Linked DNA regions of Oryzias latipes. The protein of the gene in region 1 binds, or shares a complex with, the protein of each later gene. Links are inferred from orthologs where the notes say so. Each region holds a gene or a part of one and is shown in the gene's direction. Other genes may lie near its edges. The genes, in order: heatr3, rrs1 and rpf2.

Evidence for each region.
Region 2: heatr3 (region 1) and rrs1 share a complex: the UniProt entries of both Homo sapiens proteins name them as parts of the hexameric 5S RNP precursor complex. The link is inferred for Oryzias latipes from reciprocal best matches to the Homo sapiens genes HEATR3 and RRS1.
Region 3: heatr3 (region 1) and rpf2 share a complex: the UniProt entries of both Homo sapiens proteins name them as parts of the hexameric 5S RNP precursor complex. The link is inferred for Oryzias latipes from reciprocal best matches to the Homo sapiens genes HEATR3 and RPF2.

Annotation. Positions count from the first base shown.
Region 1 is NC_019861.2:30,452,347-30,461,013, reverse strand, and holds the start of heatr3 (HEAT repeat-containing protein 3), read left to right. Parts: upstream 1-3,143; 5' UTR 3,144-3,283; coding exon 3,284-3,424; intron 3,425-3,579; coding exon 3,580-3,752; intron 3,753-4,854; coding exon 4,855-4,942; intron 4,943-5,200; coding exon 5,201-5,301; intron 5,302-5,708; coding exon 5,709-5,818; intron 5,819-8,372; coding exon 8,373-8,513; intron 8,514-8,667. Other genes in the region: cnep1r1 (nuclear envelope phosphatase-regulatory subunit 1), read left to right, coding at 355-426, 806-879, 1,217-1,326, 2,563-2,617, 2,712-2,753. UniProt on the Homo sapiens protein: Plays a role in ribosome biogenesis and in nuclear import of the 60S ribosomal protein L5/large ribosomal subunit protein uL18 (RPL5). Required for proper erythrocyte maturation.
Region 2 is NC_019878.2:17,064,281-17,071,914, reverse strand, and holds rrs1 (ribosome biogenesis regulatory protein homolog), read left to right. Parts: upstream 1-3,879; 5' UTR 3,880-3,949; coding exon 3,950-4,966; 3' UTR 4,967-5,087; downstream 5,088-7,634. UniProt on the Homo sapiens protein: Involved in ribosomal large subunit assembly. May regulate the localization of the 5S RNP/5S ribonucleoprotein particle to the nucleolus.
Region 3 is NC_019882.2:10,336,131-10,344,643, reverse strand, and holds rpf2 (ribosome production factor 2 homolog), read left to right. Parts: upstream 1-2,868; 5' UTR 2,869-2,989; coding exon 2,990-3,012; intron 3,013-3,756; coding exon 3,757-3,889; intron 3,890-4,283; coding exon 4,284-4,321; intron 4,322-4,923; coding exon 4,924-4,963; intron 4,964-5,049; coding exon 5,050-5,131; intron 5,132-6,398; coding exon 6,399-6,475; intron 6,476-6,720; coding exon 6,721-6,820; intron 6,821-6,895; coding exon 6,896-6,998; intron 6,999-7,066; coding exon 7,067-7,211; intron 7,212-7,597; coding exon 7,598-7,783; 3' UTR 7,784-8,025; downstream 8,026-8,513. UniProt on the Homo sapiens protein: Involved in ribosomal large subunit assembly. May regulate the localization of the 5S RNP/5S ribonucleoprotein particle to the nucleolus.

The DNA of each region.
Region 1 (8,667 bases):
GTTCGATTTAAAGATGACGTAATATCTATAAAGGATAACCGTGTGAGTTAAGACGCCATTTGTAATTGAACGTGTCGTTAAATTTGCGACATATAGCATTGTTTGCTATCCTCACACTGACAGATAAGATGTGCGGTGATCTGTGTCTGTAAGCTTGTTTGGTTTAGGCATATATATTTGAACCAATGATGTTCTGTCTTTGAATGGTAATTTATCGGTGTTTGTTGCTAACGTGACTGTTGAGGTTTCTTGTTAAAAGTTTTTAAAAGATAACCTTAGTTTCATCACAGTTGTTATGAGGTGAAACTACTACTTGATACTCGATAACTATCCCTCCATAACGTGTTTTTATAGACCTAAAGGCCTTTGAAAGAAGACTGACAGAATATGTCTCCTGTTTGCAACCAGCTACAGGCAGGTGGAGAAGTAAGTAACTGTTATAATTAATGATAAAATCTGGAGTATTTTATTGTTTTTGTTTATTTAAATTCTAAAGTTGATATTTCTCTTGAAAGCCAATAAAAAAATCAGGAAGGAAGCTTTCAATTTGATATTTTGAATTGAGCTAAAACTTTGGATTGTGTGCTGTCAGTATTCAGACTGGTTTACTGTGTTATGTGGGCATTTATGTCCTGGCCTATGTAGTTCTCTCAGGTATGTTTCTTGCTGCTCTCAGTCACAAAGGCTGAGTTTTCTTTGTCGTCTTTTTTCGATTCATTTTTTTTTTTTTTTACACTGTCCCACAATGTTTTTCAAAAATTTCAATTGTTTCAGCTGGTGTGAATCTGCTGTCATTCATTTTCAGTGATTCTGATAGTGGTATCAGTCTGTACGGCAACTGGGGCTTGGAACTGGTTAATAGATCCAGACACACAGAAGGTATGCGCCTGTGAACAACAAGCCACATGTGATACATGTATTCACAGCAAAACAGATGATGTGGTTAGTCTAAGTTTACGCAAACATTTTTGGAGTTGACCACAACACCTTTACTTTACAGTTTTTCTGGAACAGTATTGTAGTAGGAAGTGTTGGGATGATACATTTGAAGGTTGTACCTATTTTAGCGCACAGTTAATACGAGGTGTAATCATTGAAGCACATTTTTTGAAATATCCACTTGTCTTTTGTTCAACATAAAATTTGATAGCAAATTATTCATCATTTTTTTCTTAGTGTTTTTTGTATTAATATTTCATATTTTCTTGTTTTGCAGGTCTCTTTCCTATCGTCACTTTGGAACCATCCATTCTTTACCATCAGCTGCATCACCTTAATAGCTCTGTTTTTTGCTGGAATCCACAAACGAGTCGTGGCTCCATCAATGTATCCTTTGACTTGTGCTGTAGATGTCAAGCTTTTTCTGTCATACAGATTAAGTACAGCAGGGGACCTCAAACTCAGGTTACCTTGGGGGCCACTGAAAGCAGAGTCCTCCTGAGGCTTTGGGAGCCGATAGCAATTTGAATCAGAAATTTAACAAAATCCAGTCTTTTCAATTTTTTTAGAGGGCACATTTTAACCCTGGTCACAAGTTTTATTAGAGAAGCCAGTCACCCACTACTATATTTTTATAATTGAATTCAAACTGTGGGTAGTAAGAGGATGGACGCTGTTCATTGGAGATTGGAACAAGCGTTACGCATGAAATAAAAGAAAAGGAAGAAATTCATTAACGTGGACTGCAGTCTCTATCAGATCAGATCTATCTTAGAGTAGACTACAATCACAATGCATCAAGCAACGTAACTTCCATGTGGTCCCATGTTAAATAGAGGTGGGTGTCAGGTTTCCTGCTTTAAATGTTTCCCTGCGTGCAACCATCAGGCGCGGTCAATGCCACGCCCCCAAGAGCCATATACCCCACTGTGATAGTTTGGCTCGTCAGCTTTGCACACAACACTGTAGAAATGTCATTCAGACAAAACTAATATATCATAAACTTATACATCATCTTAGGGGGCTACCAGTTTGCGACCCCTGAAGAACAGGGTCTTACTAGATAAAATACCTTTATGCTATGTACACACTGGGCATGTGGGCCGTTGAACGCAGGTTCGTTGAACACGCTTATAGTATGCTGTGTTCACACTGGACTGTCGCTACCCCGTACTTATTGCATGTACTCACAGTTAGAAGAGGCTTGGTGTGAAATGTCAAAGCTGAGATCTGAAATCTCGTGAATCTTGCTCCAGGCTTTTTCTTTAACGGTTCTTTTATACAATTTCTGTTCAAAGTAGGAACCAATTATTGCAAACTTTGAGATTGCAAACAGAATTGGTGGTTTATGAGTATTATGGGAAAGTTCAGCTTTATAATGACCTGGTTTGACATGAAAAAAAAAAACATCCTTCTGGCTCTTTTTTTGGGCTCTTTCCCTTTTGCCAATATGGCCTGAAAATAGGCTGTGAAGTGGATATTAAATACATGTTTAAAAATGTCCTTAAAAGTCTCAGATTTAACTTACAGAAACCTGTAGGAGCCATAAAAATATACAAAGTTCTTTAGATTTCTTTAACAAACCCATTTTCAATTGTTATCTTTGACCTTTGCCCTTTTAAGAATCGCTGCTCGCTGTCGCACGGTTTTAGCAGAATACAACATGTCCTGTGATGATGTGAGTTCATCTTTTTTTATTTAAACTGCATTCCTATTAAAACCCATTGTTTGGTACATTATTGATTGTGTTTTTTTGTTTACTTTATGTACAGACTGGAAAACTCATTCTCAAACCACGACCCAGCATCCAGTAACTACATACAATGACTTAAAGTATGATCACAAACTCTGAATCTTTCAACTTTTCCGGGCAGCGCTGAGGTGGAATTTGTCAACACAAAGCAAAGACTGAACTGGAGTTTTTAAAAATTGTGTTTCAGTGTGGAATTGAAGCTGCTGACATGCTCACAAAATCTTCAACTGTATTTTAGTCATTCAGTGTGAGTGCAGATGTGTTTATTCAGATTTCTGTTATGTGTTTTATCTGAGTATTTGTATTTTAAAACTTATTTGCTTAATAAATGCACAATGTGTGAATTTTTGTGTGTTTGTTTATGCAATATTTGGGACTTTGGTTTGGTGCGAAACTGGTTTTGTTTTTTTTGTCGCCACAACAGTTGTGGTGTTTACGACAGTGTCTTCTATCGGCAAGGATCGCTTTACGGCAGACTCGTCCACATGGCTTCCAACTCGGCATGATCGGAGTTTGAGCTAAAATCGTCAGTAAGAGTGAACCAAGGCGAACTTAAAATCGTGTTTTATGTATAGGTAGTCATTGATCGTCATGGGTAAAAGTAAAACCACGAAGTTTAAACGGCCGCAGTTCAACGCCGTCGGGCTGCCGGTGAAAGCCGTGAAAGAAGTTGACGAAGAGGAGGAAGACCACGGTGAAGATTGCTCTCCAGCCGCGGAGCTACTGGAAAAGGTGTTATGCATTTTTCGTTTGGGTTCCAGTTGTTCCCATTTTGAAGTGTCCTTTTCAAAATAGATGTTTATGGTCACGTAAATGGTAAATCCACGTGTTGTCGTGGAGAGTTACTGTAGACTTCGTTCCGACAGTCACAGAGTGTGTTTCCTCAGCTGCAAAGCCCGAACGCAGACACGCGTGAGTTTGCGTGCGCCAGCATTTCTCGGGTGGTCCAACAGAGCCAGACCATCCCCGGTTTTCTCCAGAGACATGCTGTCCGGCGCCTGGGCCCCTTGCTGCTGGACAACAGCTTGGCTGTCAGGGAGACTGCCGCCGGGGCGCTCAGGTAAAACAATCAAATCTTTACCTGGAGTGGAGGCATAAATAAACCTGTAAACAACACTGTCATTCAGTTTAAAATCTTTTTAATAAGAAAATACAGTTAGTATCAACTGTAAATCACTTTTAACAATGATTATGCTTTATATTTTGAGAATAGAAGGCGCCCAAATGTCCTTTATGATCACGTCCTGATGAGGCTCAAACGGTTGCTGGAGCCTATCCCATTTGTCTTTGTGTAATTGTTGGAGAACATTCCTCATTCTAATGCTCACACTCTATTCTAACAGACATTCACCATTAATCCAGGTTTATAGTTATTATTATTTTATTATTTTTATATTAAAATGTGGCACAAAATGCTCTGACGTGAGCTGTATTTGAAAATACTTGCTCCAAAAGATACCAGAGCTGTTACCAGCCCAGGGGCCTTGTGGTAGGTAGTGTCCATCCTGAGGCTGGAAGGTTATGACTTCAAATCCACGGCCGAGTCATACCTCAGACTCTATCTAAAAGTGGGACCAATGCCAGTGCATGACAACTAAAGGGACTTTGAATTTAACTGTTGATATATGCAGAGGGGCAAAAAGGTATTCAGTCAGCCACCAATTGTGCAAGTTTTCCCACCGAAAAAGATGATAGAGGGCTGTAACTTTCATCACAGGTAAACCTCAACTGTGAGAGACAAAATGAGAGAGAAAAATCCAGAAAATCACATTGTCTGATTTTTAAAGAATTTATTTGTAAATTACGGTGGAAAATAAGTATTTGGTCACCTACAAACACACAGGATTTCTGGCTCTCACAGACCTGTGACTTCTTCTGTTAGAGGATCCTCATATTTCTGTCCACTCATATTTCATTGGCTTCACCCCTTAATAAGCCACAACACAAACTGGAGTGATGTTAGAGTTTGCATATACTGGGAGTTAACTGGTGGTTAAATGGAACTCTTCATGTCCTAATGCAGCACATAATGCTGCTTAGTATGACTAATATTTAATGGCATTTGAACTTATCTGACGCTTCAGCGGGGGCCGCCATGCTTTAATAAAAGGTCATGCAGTGAAAGTAGCACTTTTCAAATGTGTCTCGGTTGTGTTTTACAGGAATCTGAGTGCATGTGGAAATCAGGAAGTGTGCGAGGACATGGTGAAGGAAGACATCATGACTCCTGTGACAGCGCTGCTGACAGAGGTGAGAGCTGTCGGCTTCCCTCCACACACTCCTCATTAAGGGCTGTCACGGGAGGCTGTAGTGGCCGCCGCAGTTGAGTGTCGTTCAACAGCGCAAGCAAAACCGTCTCGTAAAAAAGAAGAGCTCGTCAAGAACTGGAGCCGTTAAAGTCTAGCTTTTGTTGTAGGGAAGTCTGCATTAGAAGCTGTGGTCAGTGTTGGATTTGTGTTAAAAACAAAGTGTTGTTTGTTTTTTTAAGCAGGTTTGTTTTGCGTCCAGTGTTGCGCAGGTTTTGACAGCACCGTGGTGACGATGAAGGAACAGAAAAATGCTGTGGAGGATGTTGCCAACGAGGCGGTGAACCTGCTGTGGAACCTATGGTAAACCAGGAAGTTGTGCTGCTTTCGATGACACCCTTTCCTACCAGTGCTTTTCAATAAAGACCCACTCGGTCATCTATTGATCTGTTGTAAAAGTGTTCCCAGTGGTCTTTTAACTATAATTATGCCATTTTTCGCCAAAATCATTGTCGAGAGCTTGGAGCAAGCTTGTGGCCCGCCCAGTATATTTGCGACGCCACAAATAAGCAATTTTTCCAAAAAATGTTTTTGACAAACAATGTGAGTAAAGAAATACTCAGAAATCCAACATATGTCCTTCCATTTTCAGGAAAAGTGCCACAAGAACATGTTAAAACACAATTTTCAATGGAGTGGGTCTTTAACAAAGTTTGTAAAACTTTGCAGCTTCTGCTATTTTTACCTCAAGTTGTCCTTTTCTTTTCCAGTGAAAACAGCAGCCAGGCGCTGTCTGTTTTCAACAAATCAGGTCTCCTGGATCTTGTTGCTCAGTGTCTGGAGAGGCACCCACGTAATGTGGAATTGGCTGTTTCAGCAGGTACCTAAAACCCACAAACTATTCCTAATTTTTCTTCTTTTTTATGAAAATATTTTTTTTGTGAGTTTAGATCTGGTGACATTTAACCTTGAAACCGAAGAAACAGAAACATATGATCAAATTTAATCTCTCTATTCATGATTGTTCTCATTTCTTGTAATTATCACAGACTAAAACTGAAAAGTTGCGGTTTTCACAGCTGTTCTTTCGCCATCTTTCTCAGTGGGCTGAGTCCTTTTAACCCTAAACACATTTGAATAAAAACTTTATATCTCACCCCAGAATCAAACGGCGAACATTTGGACAAGACAAAATCTGCTCTACCCCATCTTTTGTATTTAAACAGGTTTAAAATGATCTAAACTTGTTTGTGTTCACAGCTCTGTTGAGAAGTTTGGATTATTGTCATGAAAGTTTGATAGGTCACTGAAACTGCCTCTGGGGAATTCAGAGGCAGATCTTTTGGATCTGGATTTTGTCAGGACTTACTGAATGAAGTTGTAAAATCTTTTTGTGGTGTTCAGTTTTAAAATCAAAACAGCCGTTTACTCTGCACTGCTCCACATTCAAAACAGAAAAGGGCTCATTTAAGTTAATGCTGTCAAGCTTATTTGAAATATTTAATTACCGTACTTGACAAAAATGCATCCCGTCTGACCTTCCTTTGACACTGTAGTGCTGTACTCAACCTGTCAAATGTGGGGCCCTTTGGTGCCTCTGTCTAAATATGGGCTCCACAGGAAAAAAATACTGACTTCTCTTTCTGTAAACTGATATTTGACATAATGCTGTTGTGATAGTGTGAGCATTCTAGCATAACTTGACTTTGTAAGGTTATTTTAGTCTATTATGGGTATGCATTTAAAAAGTGCCGAGCTTACTGCCTCAGGGTGTAAAGAAATCTATTGGTAAGATATGATTTTAATTTAGAAAATGCAATATTAATTCTATTAAATCCAACGATTTCTTTTTTAAAGTGACATGTTTCATGTTTTTTTCCCAACACATCCCATTAGTTTTTCTTTATAAGTTCTAATTTTTTTTCCAGTTTAGTTGCTACCTATGTGGAAAAAGTATTTGACAATCAATAGAAATTGTCTAAAATTAATATTTAACAAGTAAATTGATGTTTAATTATGTTTTCTTGAATAAAAGCAGATTTAATTCAGTGTTTTGGCTATAATACCTGCTGGGTTTTAGCCCAAAGAGTCTCAAATCTGTCTTTCATATTTATTCATAGAGCCTAAAAGTTTTTGAGTCATTTTCTTGATGGAGTAATGTAAAAATGCAGAGATGACAGCTTTAATTTCAGAGTAAAAGTTCTTGAAAATCCATTATCATCAGACTACTACACTTCCTCCTCCGTGCCTGTCAGTTAAGAACCTGTTTGTCCATCGGTAACAAACTTAAAATTCAGCTCTAACTCTGAGATTTCCCATTCAGGGACTGAAGGCACCTCCAGTTCAGATTGACCATCTGTTGCATTCTCAAGAACTCTGGAACACCTTGAGGGGAAAGGTTTAAATTTAGCAGAAATGTCCCCTTAGACTTAATGAACCGATAAAGGTTTGTGTTAAAAAAAGCTAGATCGCCGTGACCTCAGAACTCCAGGATTTTTGTCAACAGAACATGTGAGGAGTTTTGCAATTTGAAGCTTGCTTTCACGATTTTTGACTTTTTGGGAGATTTTTGACTATTGGGAACAAAAAGTAACCAAATTACCACGGCTGCCTAGCCGTAAACTAAAGTATGTTCAGATTCAGATTCAATCCTTTGGATTAAAGGACTTCTTTAGTGAATTTTATAAAATGTCTTTTTCCACTTGGATGAATTTGCTAAACCCAACGAGGCATTTGGTCAGGGTTTGTCTCATCCTGTTCTCAAGTTTGCTGGGAAATATGCAGATCTGAACATGCATATTCAGGGAGGACCGACATTTGGATCCAACTACTTTTGCAGATAACTATTAATTTGTTCTGCTGGTGCTGGGGTTCAGGTTGTCTGGAGGCAGTTTGCATTACAGACAGAAAGACAGCTGCTCAGCCAGGTCTTGAACCGGTCAAGACCTGAAAACTAACAGAAAAAAAACAATACAAAAACAGGAAAGCTATTTCATTTTCACAACCTATTAAGTTGTTTTTGTGGTAGTAAGTAAACTTGGACACATGTTGAAGCAGTGTTTGGCAGTTGATATGTATTTAATACCAGAAAGAGCAGGAGTCACTTATCCTTCTGTGCTTTTAGCCGTCAAAATAAAGCTTTTTGGCCCTGACGGCTTGGTTTTATTACTGTATTCCCAAACAACAAAAATTGAGAACAATACCGATCATTTTTATAGAAACATCCAAAGCAACTAGGCAATCCAATTCACCGCCACCTAAAAAATAGAGAATATTGAACTCTTTACCAAACTGAAGAAAAAGAAACTGTACCAAGAAAGGTTGAATAGTAAATGTATAAATAGTTTCTTCCTGCTTCATTTGTGATATTTCTGAACATTTGGCAGACTTTGATGTCTCTGTTAGTCATCTGAAGCTTTTCTTCTGTCTCCCAGCCCACTGTTTGCACACTGTGACTGAGGACAACCCCGAACTGCTGTGCAGCATGAATGCAGGCGTTTTTGGAGCCCTAGAGGGTGTGCTGCTGTCGTCTCAGCCAGGCATGGCAGCCACTCTTCTCAGGACTTTAGCTGCGGGTAAGCTTTGTCATTTTTAATGTCTGCTTTCCTTTTTGGGAGCAGCTCAAACTGACTCATCTGCTAGATGAACTTGTTCAATTTTTTGCCAGATTAACTTATTACACTTCATAGTGGGCACAGTGTTTTCACAGGTAACATTTCACTGGCAGAA
Region 2 (7,634 bases), on another chromosome or scaffold:
TCCTGGACCAAAAGCCTGGAAAAAGCTGCAGGTGTGAAAAAGAGTAGGCATGAGTGCATTAGCTTTATAGATCGGTGTGCAGATTGTGTTGAATGGAAAAACACAAACATTTTATAAAGTTTTTTGTTTTTTGCTGTTCCGGTGTAATTCAGTATTATTCTTTTTTTTTAGGTCAAAGGTTAAAATGTGGGCATGTTTTTGTTGTTTACCGTCACTCACAAAAACTCAAACAATCTTCCAAATAAATTAAAAGCCCTTCGATTGTTCCAAAATGAACAGACAAAAGCCATTTGTATCATTTAATTTGTAATTGTAAAAGTGTGTCCTTACACATTGACTACAGAATGTTGAAATTTTCACTTTAATACACTTTGCTGTAGTGTTATTGAGCATTGTTGCATTTCCCTTTTATTTTTTTTATATCTGTGCAACAAAAGTTTTAAATACTTTTAAAACTTATTAGTAATTAACTGTCACTGATCCACTAACCTGTCCAGGGTATATCCCACATTCAACCAAAAGTCCCGTTGTGACCCCCAAATTGGATGAGGCAGGTTTGGAAGATGGATGGATGGATTTGGCCCAATAATTAAAATGCAACAGACATGTCTTTGAGATGAGGCAGTAGTTTGTTAGAAATCTACCTCTTAGTTGTGGGCGAAACCATTGGTGCACCCCCACATCCCATCATTTCTCTGTTTCCACTCTCTACCACTATCTTACAGCCCCTCCCAAGCCCAACCTAGTATTAGCAGTGCAACAGAAATGGCGAGCAATCTTAGATCTATCTAGCCATACAGTTTGGAGCCAGATGCCAGCTCCGGCGAGGAAAACTAAGACGTACATGGATTTGGTCGTCCAAGGTGGGATGTATCGGAATGGAGCTTGTGGCCCGCCGATTATAGCTTCTACGTTACACCTACGAGCTTTTTAACACTGCATTTTTTTGTCTGCTCCTGTTTCACAGCAACTTGAATAAAGAAATGCTCAGAAATGCAATGGTACGCTTAATTTTCTTTATATAAGTCCTTCATCATGACCCCAAAAACACAATTTGAGACATCATTTGTGTCTCTTTGGAGGAAATATATCCGAATGATCCATGCACATTCAGTTTTTTGGGGGGATTTTCAAGTTTTATTAAAAACATTAAATAAGTTGGCCTAGTTGTTGTAGAGTTCTGGACCTGTTACATCACAAACACAGATCGTCTCCAAACTTTCCATTTTTCCAACAGATGTGCTGCATCTGTTGCGTGATGTGTTCATCTTGTTTTTATAGCTTGTTTTTCACTGTCTCTTATACTTGAGGGAGCATGAATTAATGAACATCTTTGAACTTTGAAGACTTCAGGCACATGAATATGACGGATACTCCATGATTTCCATGTTAAGCTGCGGAAACAAACTGTTTGCTACTTCTGCTCATTGCAAACGTGCCGAAATACATTACATTACATGTTAAAAAGTCATCTTTCACTTTCACAAAATATTCAAACATTTTAATCTGTGTACAATAAACTGAGCTGTAAAGTTATGATATGAGGAAAATTTAAAGTAAACTGTTGTAAAAATCCCTGATTTAAAAAAGAATATCTAGTACCTATTTCGAATTGTTCTCCTTAAATCCAACCTCCTTAAATCCAGTTTCTAATGAGCAAACAACATCTGTTGCACTGGACAATTACTCTCTGACATCAGGATTTTGAACTGCAAAAATGAAATCCAAAATGTGTCTGCCACATCAACTGCACCAACCCGCTAACAACATTTTGAAACTTAGCAATTGATGAAGAGTTTTGCAAAGTCAACAAGAAAACAAGCCCCTCATAATAAACAAATCCCCCCCTAGGATGTTTGAAATGCAACTAGAACAAATAAATGTTGAAAAGCTTTTCTTAATCAGGCTGCACACAGTTTATTTTAGTGTAAATTTGAACTCTTTAACATGGAAGTAGATGGACAGTTGCTCCCTTCTGTGCAACCAGTCTCCAGTGGTCTTTTGAGGAACTGCAACACTTCCTGCTTCAGATGTGGGAAGGAAATTGGAGGCTTGGTAACACCTTAACCATGCATAGACACTATTGGCTCCATGAAAAATGCCCCTACTAAACATATCAATCCCATCAGTCTGTCTCCATCAAAGTGCCAATCTGTCTCCATCAGTTTCCAGACAATCACTCCAATTAGAAAGGATTATTGTTTCCTAAAGATGGATTGATAAGATATTATGGAAAACAGTTCTCTCATGTGTGATTTTTTTCTAGACTAAATTTAGCTATATAAAACTTTTTTTGAGGATATAAAAAATCCGATTGACCTCTGATTGAAGGATCATATTCAGTTCCCGCACTAAACTCCACATTGTTCCTGGTGGTTAGACTTGGTTTGGCGCCATGTATGTAGCAGAGGCAGCACCAGTGTGGGAATGTGAGTGTGTATGCGACTATAAAGCGCTTTACACTTCAATTAAGGTAGTGAAGCATCATATGATGAGCACCATTTATCATGACAGTTATTGTAAGAAGGTGTTTGCAAAAGTGTCCTGCGACAGACTGGCGACCTGTCCTGGGTGTGTCCCACCTTCGTTCAACAGTGGCAGGGTTAGGCTACGGCATCCCCATGACCCAGAAAGGGTTAAAGCAAGAAAAAGAATGGATGGCTAGATGTGTAAAATTATTTTTTGATATTAATATTGGCAAGAAAAGTCATAGAAGTTTTACCTTTTTTCTGAGAACAAGTATTCCCTTAGTCAGGTGTGTATTGTAGCCATTTGGCTAACATTATATATTGTATTTATATTCCATGCATGGATGCTCCTGTCCTGCCTTGGTCATTTAGCCATTTGAGTTCCCTGTTGATGGGTGCATTTTGGAGATTGCCATGTCTTTATTAACATGCGTTTGGATTTTAGAACTTTGGAAGCATGACATTATATTATTCTTAGGCCATGTTCAGACTTTTGAATGCTATTTTGGGGGGTTTTATTGTAATTTTTCACTGTTTGAGTTCACAAAATATTTGACAAAAAAGGAAGAACATTGACCGTTTCTTATGAAGCAAGCATCAGATACGAGGCAGTTCCTGTTCCCCAAAACACCTGAATGACAGCAGTTATAGTGTTTTGTAACCTACAAAAAATATTGAGGGATAAATTAGGCTTATATTTTTTAAAAGATTAATATTTTAAGCTCTGCCAGGTGACACAACTGAAGGAAACCAAAATTATCGATGCCAACTCACTTTAAATGTGTATTTAAATAAATATCACAACTGAATGTCCATAAAATTCAAAAACAAGTATTGCAAACATGGTTTTATTTTGAAAAATTTTGCATATTTCTTAGCTTGACTGTATTTTGACACATAGAGTTGAAATTTTGTTGAACTGTCACCGATGAACTGTAACTGACTTTTTACCCCAAAAAAAATGCGTTTACATGTTTTTTTCTGTCTAGTTTAGCTAAATATATATCTTTTTAAATAATGTATATACACCCATCTGGAGCTTCTGTGACTGTCATCATCTGTGGTTTGATGTCTGTAGTCCACCTGTTGAAGCGCCCTAAGGCTACAGACTGAACTTAAACTTGACCCTAGTGTTCATTGGTGTGAAAAAGAGAAAAGAGCTTAAAAATGTTGCATGAATGTGGCATGAATTTAGATTTTTTTTATTAATATAGTGTATTTTATGTGTGTGTTATTATAACAAGTTGTATACATTGCATTAATTTGTTTGTTTTTTATTCAAATTTAAATGTCAAATTAGTGGAACAACATTGCCCTCTGGCAGCCAAATTCTGTATTATACAAGAAAATAAAACAACACTTCCCCCTGATGGTTACCGGTGGGAATTAGGCAACACTGCCTCGTGCGGTGAGACAATGAACTACACCGTGACCCGGAAGAAGACTCCTGTTGTTGCCCCACGTGTGTAGTGGTCGAAATCATGGCTGCGTGCAGCGTGGAGGAGCTGTTAGCGAAAGCCGAACAGGAGGAGGCTGAAAAACTGAAGACCATCTCCGTCCAGAAGGAGCTGGATTTGGACTTTGACGTGGGAAACCTGCTAGCTTGTGACAAAAACCGCATCGAGTCCAGGGACTTCAAAGAGCAGAATAAGGAAGACTTTCTCCGGTCGCTGGCCCGCGACAACACGCAGCTTCTTATCAACGAAATCTGGAAGGTGCCGACCGAGAGGGTCGAGGAGGCGATCGTAGCCAAACTACCGGAGCCGACGACCCGGTTGCCCAGAGAGAAACCTCCTCCGAAGCCCAAACCCCCGACGAAATGGGAGCAGTTCGCCAAACTGAAAGGCATCCAGAAGAAGAAGAAGACGAACCTGGTGTGGGATGAAACGGCCAAGGAGTGGAGGAGGCGCTGGGGCTACAAGAGGGCCAACGACGACACCAAAGACTGGCTGATCGAGGTTCCGCAGACCTCCGACCCGAACGAGGACCAGTTCGCCAAACGCGCCCATGCCAAGAAGGAGAGGGTGGCAAAGAACGAGTTCAACAGACTGAAGAACGTCGCCAGATCTCAGAAAATAAAAAACCCCGGTGTGGGGCTGCTACCCCGAGCCAAGCAATCCAAAGACGAGCTGAGCAAAGCTGTGAGCGTGGCCAAAACCTCCACGGCATCCGTGGGCAGGTTCCAGGATCGCCTCCCAAAGGAGAAGCCCCCCAAGAACGCAGGCAAGAGGAGGAAGTTTGAGCCCCTCATCGGGGACTTCTCCAGCGAGAAGCACAAGCAGCTGGAGCTCCTGAAGGTCATGGACAGCAAGAGGCCCAAGCTGGACATCACCAAAGCCGTCAACAAACAGATGAGAGAGGAGGACAGGGAGGAGGCTGCGTCCAGGAAGAAGGGAGGCAAAGGGGGAGCCACCCGGAGGCCCAAGGGGAAGGGGGGCAAAGGAAAAGGAGGCAAAGCTGGAGGAGGGAAGAGGAGAGGGAAACCTGGGAAGCGCTGAAGAAATTCTCTACATCCTGCTGCTGCAGAGCTGAACTCTGAGGACCGATTCCTGCTCCCCATAGCTTTTTGACTGTACTGTTGACAGAAAAGCAAATATATTCTACAATTTAAATACAAAAGTCTGCCGTTTCAGTTTTTTTTTACCTCCAATAAATGTCATATGGTTTTCAAAAAAAACTTATTTCCAATGAAAAGCTAATTTTAAGATTAAAAGAAATTCTGTTGCATTTTTCTCATGATGGAGGACATAAATAAAGAAATTTTAGATTAAAACTGCATTATTGAGTATTTCTTTATTCAGATCCTTGTGAATCAGGAGCAGACAGAAAATGCTGTTTGATAAATCCCTCAGTTGTAACGTAGAAACTGAACTGGGCAGACCAAAGTCTCCCTGCTCCGCCTCCACTTGCACACAAAGATGTAGAGAAATGTGAGGCGCTGTAATCTAGTGGGAGAGCGTGTAAACATGGATGACGGAAAGTGGGGGTGGACATACTCTGCAGCAATAGTTCCACCTACTGATGAACTGCTGCTCTGCACAAATTCTTCTCTAGAAAACAGCATTTGATTTTTCTATTTAGCCTAAAAACGGCATAGTCATAGTTGAAAAGACCGCTAGGAACACCCTGACAAAAGCGGATTGGAGTGGGAATTTAAAATCAAACTGGAATAGAATTGCTTTCTTTTTTTATCGTAAATTGTCTCAAGAAGGCTGCCTATTTTTCTTTTGAAAAGTACATATTTGCAGTTCTTTTTTTAAATATCTGAAAATTTTTATTTAATCTTGATTGTTTTTATTTATTTCCAGAGAGATCCTGTAGTAGATTTGTTTTCACAAGTCTGAAAATTATTTTCTTTTGTTTTTTAAAAAGAAAAACAAGCATTTTATTATTTATTTTTTTTTAAAAAGCATGGAGTGGCAACACAAGTGGGTGTCATCTGGCCCATAGCATAAACCAGTCATGTCCAAAGTCCGGCCCGTGTTTCAGTTTCCCCTCATAAAATCAATAATATGCAGCCCCCAGCATTCTCTAAACAATATGATTTCTTGATGGTGAATCACAATACTTAATTTATCTCAGAGGAAATTGTATTTTCAGCAGAACAACATGCACAAACAAGGAAAAGCTAATATACAAAAAACAGTGCAGTGCAAACTTAGAAGTGTGTAAAATAAACAATGTAATACTGTCAGGTGGTTCTAAGAAGAAAATTTCACCTTTCCAAATCTGGCCCTATGCAAATAGTATGGACACCCCTGTTATAAACCATAAAGTAAAAAAAATTATAATAAATATCTTTAGTTTTTAATGACACCACATGATGCCATTTCAAGCTTGGCACACATGAAAACATCTAAATATGGAACAGATTTCCTGTAGCATTTCGTAATAAGCTTCTCTGTCTTCTGCATCATGTCTGAACGATCCATGCAGTGATTTTCTGACTAACAAATGTTCTGAGCTAGCGGATGGGATCTCTTTGCACACTTTGAATGATTTCCGATTTCGGAGAGGGAAGCCTAATTTCATATCCTTTTATGGATCATCAGGTTTGTTTTGTTTTGTTTTTTTATAATCATGCAGTCCTGAGCCTTCTTCCTGAACAAAGTTTATTCCTTACCCTTGTCCATTGAATGCAGTCATATCTGAGTTTTTCTTATATGCTTCTTTTTTTCCAGACAAAATTGGGTGAGAGAGCCCCGGTTCAAATACCTGCTGGGATTCTTTTTGTGTGGAACTCTTCCTGTGCATGAATAGGGTTTTTTTTGGACACTTCATCTTCCTCCCACAGTCCAAAACATGTTTCATAAGTTAATTGGTGAGTCTAAATTGTCCCTGTGATAGCGTGGTCCTGCTACAGACTTGTGACATCAGGGAGTGATCTGCCTTTGCCCAGCAGTAGCTGGGTTGGTTCCAGCAACCCTGTGATCCCGAAAGGGATTCAGCCGGTTCAGAAGATTCTACTTTATTTATTAATAGACCTCTTTTCCTGTTGCAGAACACCTTAAAGTGCTTTACATGAAATAAATGATGTCTAAAAAAAAAACAATAGTAATTAGAATAAAAGCCCCCAACACACTTACAGATTCTACTAGTACAAACAGGGAAAACAGTTTATAAAATCATATCAAAACATAAGGAAATGTAAAAACTTCTTAAAAACTTATGTCTAAAATGATCAATTCTTTCTTAAAAACCTCCACAGTGGAATTAGGCCTTACATCCTCACGCAGGTCATTCCACAGGAGAGGCTTACATTCCTGGAATGACTGTGGACTTCTGGGACCACTAGCATATCTGCATCATAAAATAAAAATAATTCTGATAAAAAATGGATGGTTAGATTCCATTAAGACATTTATAAACTAATTAAAGGATCTTGAAATCGATTCTAAAGCTGACTGGGAGCCAGTTTCTAAAATGGAGTAATGTGCTCCTTTTTTCCTGATTAAGAGATGCACAGCTGAGTTTTGAACAAGATGCTGCCAATGAAATTAGATTTTTCTTAACACCAGAAAGAACCATAATCTATTTTAAAAATGATAAAACCATGAGTTTATATTTCAGCATTGGCTCTGGAGGGGAAGGGTCTCACTCTGACCATATTTCTGAGATGATAAAATGCAGTCTGTGTAACTTGGCTTGCGTCTGCTTCAAAAGGTA
Region 3 (8,513 bases), on another chromosome or scaffold:
GGCTCAGACTGGACCAGCAAAGAACCAGAACTGGGGCGAGTTCCCCTCAGGTTTTAGGACCAGGTTCTGCTCCGGACCTCCTCTCTCAGCCACAGCCGGCCTCTTCTGCTGAAGAACTTTGGGTTTCTCCAGCAGAACCGGCTGTGGTCCTGGTGGTGGTTGGGTTAAGCACACGTCGCCCCGATTGGGTGGGTTTTTTGTGTTTGTTTGTTTTTCTACAGAAGAATAATTTCTGGATTTTTCTACAAAATCTTTTGTATTTCTGCTCTGGACCAACCTTCCCGTCCGTCCGTCAGTCGCTGTACTTCCACTTCGTTTTTCGGTTGATTTCTGGACCCCCCCCCCCCCCCCCCTTCATTTTATGAGGAGGGGCGGTGGGGGTCAAGATGCCTCCCCCCAGGTGAGAGGGTGCAGTTATGCGTCAGGACACACTGTAGGAGACTCTGCTGTTTCACTTTGTTCTGCTGATCCTTGGTCAATCTGTGCTAAATATATCTGTGCTATGAGCTTCAATAAATGACTATCTGTGAAGCTGCTGGTCTGGTTCTTCTCAAAACGTCCCACATCAGCTGGTTCCAAAACAAAAATGTTAGACTTTTCATTTACTCTTTTTAGTTTGCCTCTTTTAGTTTTTTTTAACAAAAAAGGAATTTTAAACCTATTGGGACATAGTTCATGCAGAGCAGTTGTATTTTATTTAAAAATTCACCTGTGAGATGAGGGTGGGACCTATGGTGTGAAGCAATTCCACCCCTCTTCCCATCACCCATAACTGAGCTCTGTTTGCTGTCTTGTGAGCTTGCATCCCCTCACTCCTCCAACCTGACATAACAAAAATGGCGAGCAGTATTGGAGCTACAGTTCTGACCCAGATTCCAGCTCAGAAAACAAAGACGTACTTGGATCCATTTGTCTGCACATGGATGCATCGGAATGGAGCAGAGCAGAGAGTTTGTGGTCTGCCCTGAGTTTTTTTGTCACAAAAAGTTTCAGGTTTTTTCGTCTGCTCCTGATTCACTCAAACACTCAAATTCAGATTTAAGTTCAGTTTTCTTTATATTCGTCCTCCAGCAGAAAAGTTCTACAGAGGACATTAAAGTTTTATTGGAGTTAGTATTTAATTAAACTTTCATTAGTTTCTGTGGAATAAAGAATCTCTGAAAGGCATTTGATTAAAAACACTTGGAGGTGTCGAACCTCTGACTGTCTCAGAGTGTATTTCTGATTTGAAGCCTGAAACTTGGATTCTGAGTTTGAATCTTGAAAGATTCTAATACAAAAGTTTTTTTTCTTAAGCTTTCAGATTTTTCAATAAACATAAAGGGATAACTTTGTGTTTTAGGCTTTTTTTTTTGGGGGGGGGGCCTAACATGTTTAAAGACTCATTCTGAAATGTTAGGACATAGTTTAGTTTAGCTTTTGTTCCAAATGGTCACATTCTTGTTGGCGACAACTTTCATTGTCTCATCCAATTGGTTGTCGGGAGTTGCCTGCCTGCTTTCATTTGATTTGCTCCCACCTTCCCACCACTTTCTCCTTTCGAAAAAATTCCCGATTGAGCTAGAAATAGTTTTGTGAACTATTTTAAACTGTTCCTGCAGTAAAACATTACTATGTGAACACTTATGGTATCTCCTGCACACGCACTACTATTCTAATTCTTTTTTTTTAAATTTTTTATAAATACAAATGTGACAGAATATTTTTTCTGCAGACTCCTGGGTGGTTTTAAAAGAAAAAAAAAGACCAGGCTTTGTAGCAAATTAAACTCACATGAATCTGTCCCCCATAGTAGTGGGAGCAAAAAATGTCCGTCTGGGACAAAATAAACTGCATCCACTGCTGCCGTGTACAAATATCTCTCAATAACAAGGATTGACTGATGTCCTTCACAAAAAAACAATTTCATAATCTTGACAAATTTGAAACATTGTAGTATTCCTCTTAAGCAGAATATTAGACAAACATAGATGTTTAACTAACTGAATGCTGAGACAACCAACCCTGCTTTTGGTGTGGAGCCCCTTTTAGCTTGTTTGACTGATCACACTGCAAGATTTTATTGACATCAAGGGATCAGAAAGTCTTCCAGGAGGAAAGAATTTCACGAAGTAGAACAATTGTAAAGACAAAAGAAAAACGGATGTAACCATGATACTGGGTTTCTTTGGAAAATACATTAGGGGGAGGAATCTGACATCTATGTCATGAACATGAAATGTTTTTTATTCTCTTGTATGGAAGAACATCTTTCTTTTTTTCATGGCATCTCCAGGATTTTTTCTCTTTAATCTGATTGTTTTGTTCTTTTGAGCATCCCAACAGAGTTTAATGACTAAAAGCATAAATTGTTCTTTGCTTGCCTCTTGTCTCAAATCTTATTCAAACTGATCTCCATAAACATGAAACAGCAGTTGGTTTGGTTTAAGGCTGCATGGCCACATCAAGCCAATTTACATTTCCCATGATGCTGCAGGTGTGCTGCAGTTGTGTTTATTGCTTAAACTAATTGTTGATGGATCGGCATAGCTTTGGCTCAGAAGATTTTTTGGGAATTTTCAGGTTTTGCTAGATTTTCCACACGTTTGGTCAGAGTTGAACATCAATCAGTTCCCGTGCTTCAATGTTTGCATGTATTCAAAAGAAATATTATTTTGGGATTATTTTATGTACCATCGTGATAAAAATTTCCCGTTTAGAGAGTATAAACACTTAAATATTTTTTTTAAATGTAAAAAGTTTTTTTTTACCTTTTCGGCGTTTCTTTATATTTGGTGGTAAATGTCGCCCCCTGCCGGACAAATAGTATAATTTTCAGCGACTCCAAGCATTCTTGCACTGAGACAAAAGGTGGCGGCAACGAGCAAACTCCACTAAAAACGAAGAAGAGAGCCTCGTGTGTTTTTCTACCGGACAGAACCTCACGTGGAGGTTCCGGTTGCTGGCGCCACAGACTTAGAACAGGACCGAACCGAACCGCGACACGGACATGGCGCACTCAGACGGCATCACGTGAGTACCGCTCGCGCGCTAAGGTTTGGACCGTTTGAGCTTTCCCACATTCCTTGAGCTCACCAGGAGGACGCCAGAACTTGTCTGTAGGGATTTCCTGGAGGTTGGAGACCTCCATGAACCTCCACATTAATTTGAAGCCCCCAGCTCCACTGAAAGGTTCTGACTGTGCAGGTTCTGTGTTCCTCCTGAGATCAGAGCGCTCCTTCACAGATGTTTGAGGCGGTCTCAGGTGACTGGATCACCTGAATTCTGATTGGTTCCCTATTAAGGGCGCTTGCCATTTATACATCTTCAACTCCAAAACCCAATGGCCTGGAAATTTCCTAGGAGTCTTTGCAAAAAAAAACAGTGTGAATCCATGTTCACTAGATTAGAGAGTATAATTATGTTTGAATGATGTATTCATTCTAAATTATTTAAGTTGCATCATCTGATTACATAAATGGTCTCTGAAAAATGTTTGTTTTTATTATGCTTTTACATCATAGCAAATGAGTGATGTCATATTCAGTGTTTTAATGAATAAATGTTTTAATTGTCCAAATGTCTGGGGCAAATTCCAGATTTAAGTTTAGTTGGAAAACTTAGCTAAAATTTAAAGTTTTATATCTGAGTAACATTTTATTTAATATTATAATTGCATTCATGTTATGATTTTAATGTCATTAGTTTGCCTGATTTCTATCAATCTGGTGCTGAAACTGATGTTCAGACTCTTCGGGGGTTTTGCTGTGTTTTCAGAAAACCGAAGACGAGGCGTTCCAAGCGCTTCCTGGAGACCCGAGAACCCAAACTGTTGGAGAACGTGAAGAGCGTCATGATCATGAAGGGGGGCAACACAAACCAGACGGTCACTGAGGCCCTCAAAGACATCGTGAGTGACTTCGAACATCCCTAAAGTCTCCCTCTGATCATGAACCCGTGTCCTTTTTTAGGACCTAGTTTCTGCAGAGCAGCAGGAGTCCATTCGAAATTTGCCTCTGAGTTGTGGCTGTTAACATGATGCATCCTCAGCCCTCCACTCCTCCCTGTTACTGAGAGCTCTCTGTTTACCCTCTCGCTTTAACTTACAGCCACTTATACTCCCAAGCTAACATTATATTAGCAATATTGGAGCAGTTTAGAGCCAGATTGCAGCTCAGACGAGGAAATCCGCACACCGATCTAATGGTCTGCATGTTGAGCAGGGAGCAAGAAGATGTTAAAAACAGGATTTTGAAGAAAGTAATGATGAAGAAGTAAACATGGCCCTGTCCTCCTCCCTGCAGTACTCCCTGAAGAAGCCCAACGCCGTGCTCTACAAGAAGTAAGTTCCAATCCGAGCTGCTCTATGATCCACTTTCACCACAAGCCGAACGTTTTAGGCCTTTTTAGATCAGGTTATGGCCAACTTACAAAAATAATCATAAAGCCTGTCAAAGAACAGCAACACAGCTAAAATAATTCAATCCAAATCCTAAACTTTATGGCCAAATTGTCTAAATATTTTCCTGATGCTGCTAACATCACTTTTTTGAAATCTGAAAAACATCAGATCATTTTCTGATGTTATTTATGGTTTAAAGCTGCTGGAAAACTCAAATATTGACTTTAGAGGAGCTTTTGAATGGCTGTAATTTATGGAAGAAGTTTTTTTCTAAATATTTTATTTATGTTGATTAAAAAAATAAAAAACCTCCACTCTCTTTTAAGCAAAACAACAGTTTACTGTTGTTGTTTTCTTTCTTTTCTGGATTTTTTTGTCTGATCTGCAACAACAGTTTAGACAATAAAAGCCTCTTTTAGTCACGTCAGGGCTCTTAATTTGAAAGTTTTAGCCCTAGAGTGTAAAAACAGAAGTGTAACATTTAGAAGCAGAACAGCGCGTCGGGTCAGAACTTCTGTGAAGAAACGGTGTCTGTGTTTCAGGAAGAACATCACCCGACCTTTTGAAGACTCCACGTCTCTGGTGAGATTTCTGACCCTCTCTTACCGCTCGAGTGTCCCAGGAGATTTTGTCTTAAATTTGAACTATTACTTTTTTTTTTTTTTTAGGAGTTTTTCTCCAAGAAGAGCGACTGCTCTCTGTTCCTGTTCGGCTCCCACAACAAGAAACGACCCAACAACTTAATTTTTGGTAAATCCTGCTGCTTTAACCTGTTCGGAGGAGGACCGCTGGGCCTTTTGACACAATTATACGACATGAGAAGCTTATTAAAATATACAAACATGTTTTGATTGGTGACTTTTAGGTCAGTTTCAGGAGAAAATTGTTCAATCTTTCAAAAATCCCATAATTATATCATCTATTTAGCAGAAAATGCTTTAAAAAATAATAATTATTAGAAAAATGATAATATATACACAGTAAATCTAAATGTATACAAATTATGGTTTGAAATAAATTAATAAGTGCTAATTTATATTATTAACCTTTTCATGCTTCCCTTTATTTCAGATTATATGAAATGTTTTTGCCATTCTAGCTAATGCAAATTTAAATGCAGTCCAGGATTTAATGGGACGTTGCACATCAGCAACATGAAGGGGTTAAAAAGTCCAACCTTTGAACGGCAAACAGTATTTTTCTGTTTGAAAATACTTTTTTTTTCTTCAGTCTTCAATAATATTTGTTGGTAGGGCTGCCTGATTTGAGGAAAACTCACGAAATTAGTGGTCCATATATGTTGCAGGTTGATAGCAAATCAACCATCTGATTGGTCAACAACGTGAAGGAGTCCATCTGATTGGTCAAATGCATGAATGGATTTGATTTGTGAAATTCTTCTAGGTGCCATCAGATTGTTTTAACACATTTAAGGTTACCGTTGATCACAATTTTCGCCGTCTTTTGCAACAAACGTTTTGCACAGCTTGATATTGCTACAACAATAAATTTGTGATTTTGTGAAAGCCTATTTCTCGGGAAAATTCACTATAAATCAAGACAATTTTTTGTGTAGTTTTTTATGAAAATTTATTGAAAATTGATTCCTTTTATTCCTAGTTTTAACATTGATTTACTAGTTTTAGACCAAAAAATGTGAAATATCAGTCTAAAATATAAAATTTGTATTTTTTATGCTATTTTGTCTTCGAGGAAAAATGTTTTTATTTGTTGCTAAGGTATTTAGCTTTTTTTAGGGTTTAGCAAAAAGAAAAAATATGTTCGATTTGATCATTAATAAAAGGATGATTATCATTGATTTGGTTCTTCTTGGGTTGATTTTATGGAGGTAAGCTGGACATGTTAGACTTGATTGAAGCGTCTTCCGCCAGTGTTTTTGATGCTCAGCCGCTGCAGCTGCGGCTGCAGAAACTAAAAGGAGGTGTGGGTAGAACCTTGTTTGCTATGTTCCTGTTCCTCCTGGGTCATAACCTCCTCATGTCCCTCTGGTTTTCAGGTCGACTCTTTGACTTCCACGTTCTGGACATGATTGAAGTTGGAGTTGAGAAGTTTGTCTCTCTGAGTGAGTTTAAGGTAACAAGCCGACATTTTTTCCCTCTTGGATTGAAGCCATCACCATTTTCTGTTTTTATTTTTTTATAGGATCTGTTTAGTGTTTTGTCATCATTTAACTCTTAAATTTTTGGATCTTCTGGTTGGACCTCAGGTTCTGATGAGGGCTGGATTTGTTGTGTTTCTGAGTTTCAGCGCTCTTCTGCTCCTCACCTGATTTCTGCGTCTGTTGATGATTCCTGATGATCGTTTGTGTTCTGGTTCAGATCAGTAAATGTCCTGAAGGAACCAAACCCATGCTGGTGTTTGCAGGAGAAGCTTTTGAAATGGACAACGAGTTCAAACGCCTCAAAAGTCTGCTAATAGGTAAGATGTGAGGAAGACGATGAAGGTCTGAGGTCAAACGCGTATATGTTCTGACCCGGTTCTACGCCCATTCAGATTTCTTCAGAGGTCCCACAGTCCCTGCAGTCCGTCTGGCCGGTCTGGAGCACGTTCTGCACTTCACTGCTGTGGACGGGAAGATCTACCTGCGCAGCTACAGGTACTTCAAACTGGCTGCTCTCGCCTTGGAGGGGGCGCTCCGAGGCTCACGGTGCTGTCCGCCCACAGGTGTCTTCTGAAGAAGTCCGGCTGCAGGGTCCCGAGGATCGAGCTGGAGGAGATCGGGCCCTCCATGGACCTGGTGCTGAGGAGAACTCACCTGGCCTCAGACGACCTCTACAAGCTAGCTCACAGGCAGCCTAAAGCTCTGAAGGTGGGTGGAGGCCATGAATGAACCCGTTAGGTGACGTCGGCACCTTTTGCTCTTTGATCCCACCATAGCTTAGTGCCAAAAAGCTCAACCTGCGAGCCAGGCAGTTCTAAAGAATGCTAACCGGTAACTAGCTGAAACATTTAACAACAGAGCTCCAGTATTGACATTCTTTCAAGTACTGTAACTTTTTAATCGTTTATGCAAATCTGAAGCGTCTCCTGCAGAACAAACTATTGAGAAATACAAAATGTGTACTGAAGATGGCGCCAGAGGACAAGTGCCATGATGCATCAAAGTGACCACCTCTAATGTTGGAGTTGAAGGAAAATGTCTTTTGACTGTTTTCTTCAGAAAAGAAACTAACAAATTATCCTCTTACTCTGCAGCCCAAGAAAAAGAAGAACATTTCCCATGATGCCTTTGGTACCAAGTTCGGCCGGGTTCACATGCAGAAGCAGGACTTGTCCAAATTGCAAACGCGTAAATTGAGGGGTCTGAAGAAGAGGAGGGGCGAGGTGGTGGCTGAAGAGGAGCAAAGGCCTGAGCCCAAAGTGGCCAAAGTGGAGAGCTGAAGGCGTCTTCTCCACCGAGATGATTCCTCAACCGCAGAAAGTCTTTAGGTTCCATGAACATTTTAATTCACCAAGTCCTTTCCTCAGTTTCAAGCCTTTTTATGGCTCTTGTTCCGTAACATGGATAAAACCTGGTTTTTATCACCATAGATGATGTGATGTAGGAATAAACTCATCGAGGTTCTTGTAAAAGTTTGACAAAATAAATTCAAACAAAACAAATGGCTCCCATGATCAATGCATTCATGTTGGTCTTAAAGTTTCTTATGGGAATGGATGAGCAGAGTTTTTCTTTTCTTTTTTTTTCAGATAAAAAGCCGGTTTGGGGCGTTAAATATTTTAAAATAAACGCATAGAGTTAAATAACACTAATAGAACATTTTTAGAACTTTATACCACACTGTCATAAATGTGTTTCCATACATCAAGACTGTAATGATGGCTCGGTCATTTTTTGCTGCCATTACACGTGTGTCGTCTGCTGTGATGTTTGTTTTTACTTTGTAGGGAAATAAACCTACCATGTTCTAATCCAAATTGTATTTTCCAAATTTCGAATTTCAGTTAATCACATTTTTATTTTTTTTTATAACTTGGGTCGATTTGATTCAATTAGTAACTTGTTTTATAGCCAGGTACACAACTGTTCTGAGAAACAAAAGTATGAGGAGTAATGCTCTTCAAAAGGCTAAAAGGTTGCACAATGTGCAAGAAGGGGATTAAAACTGTG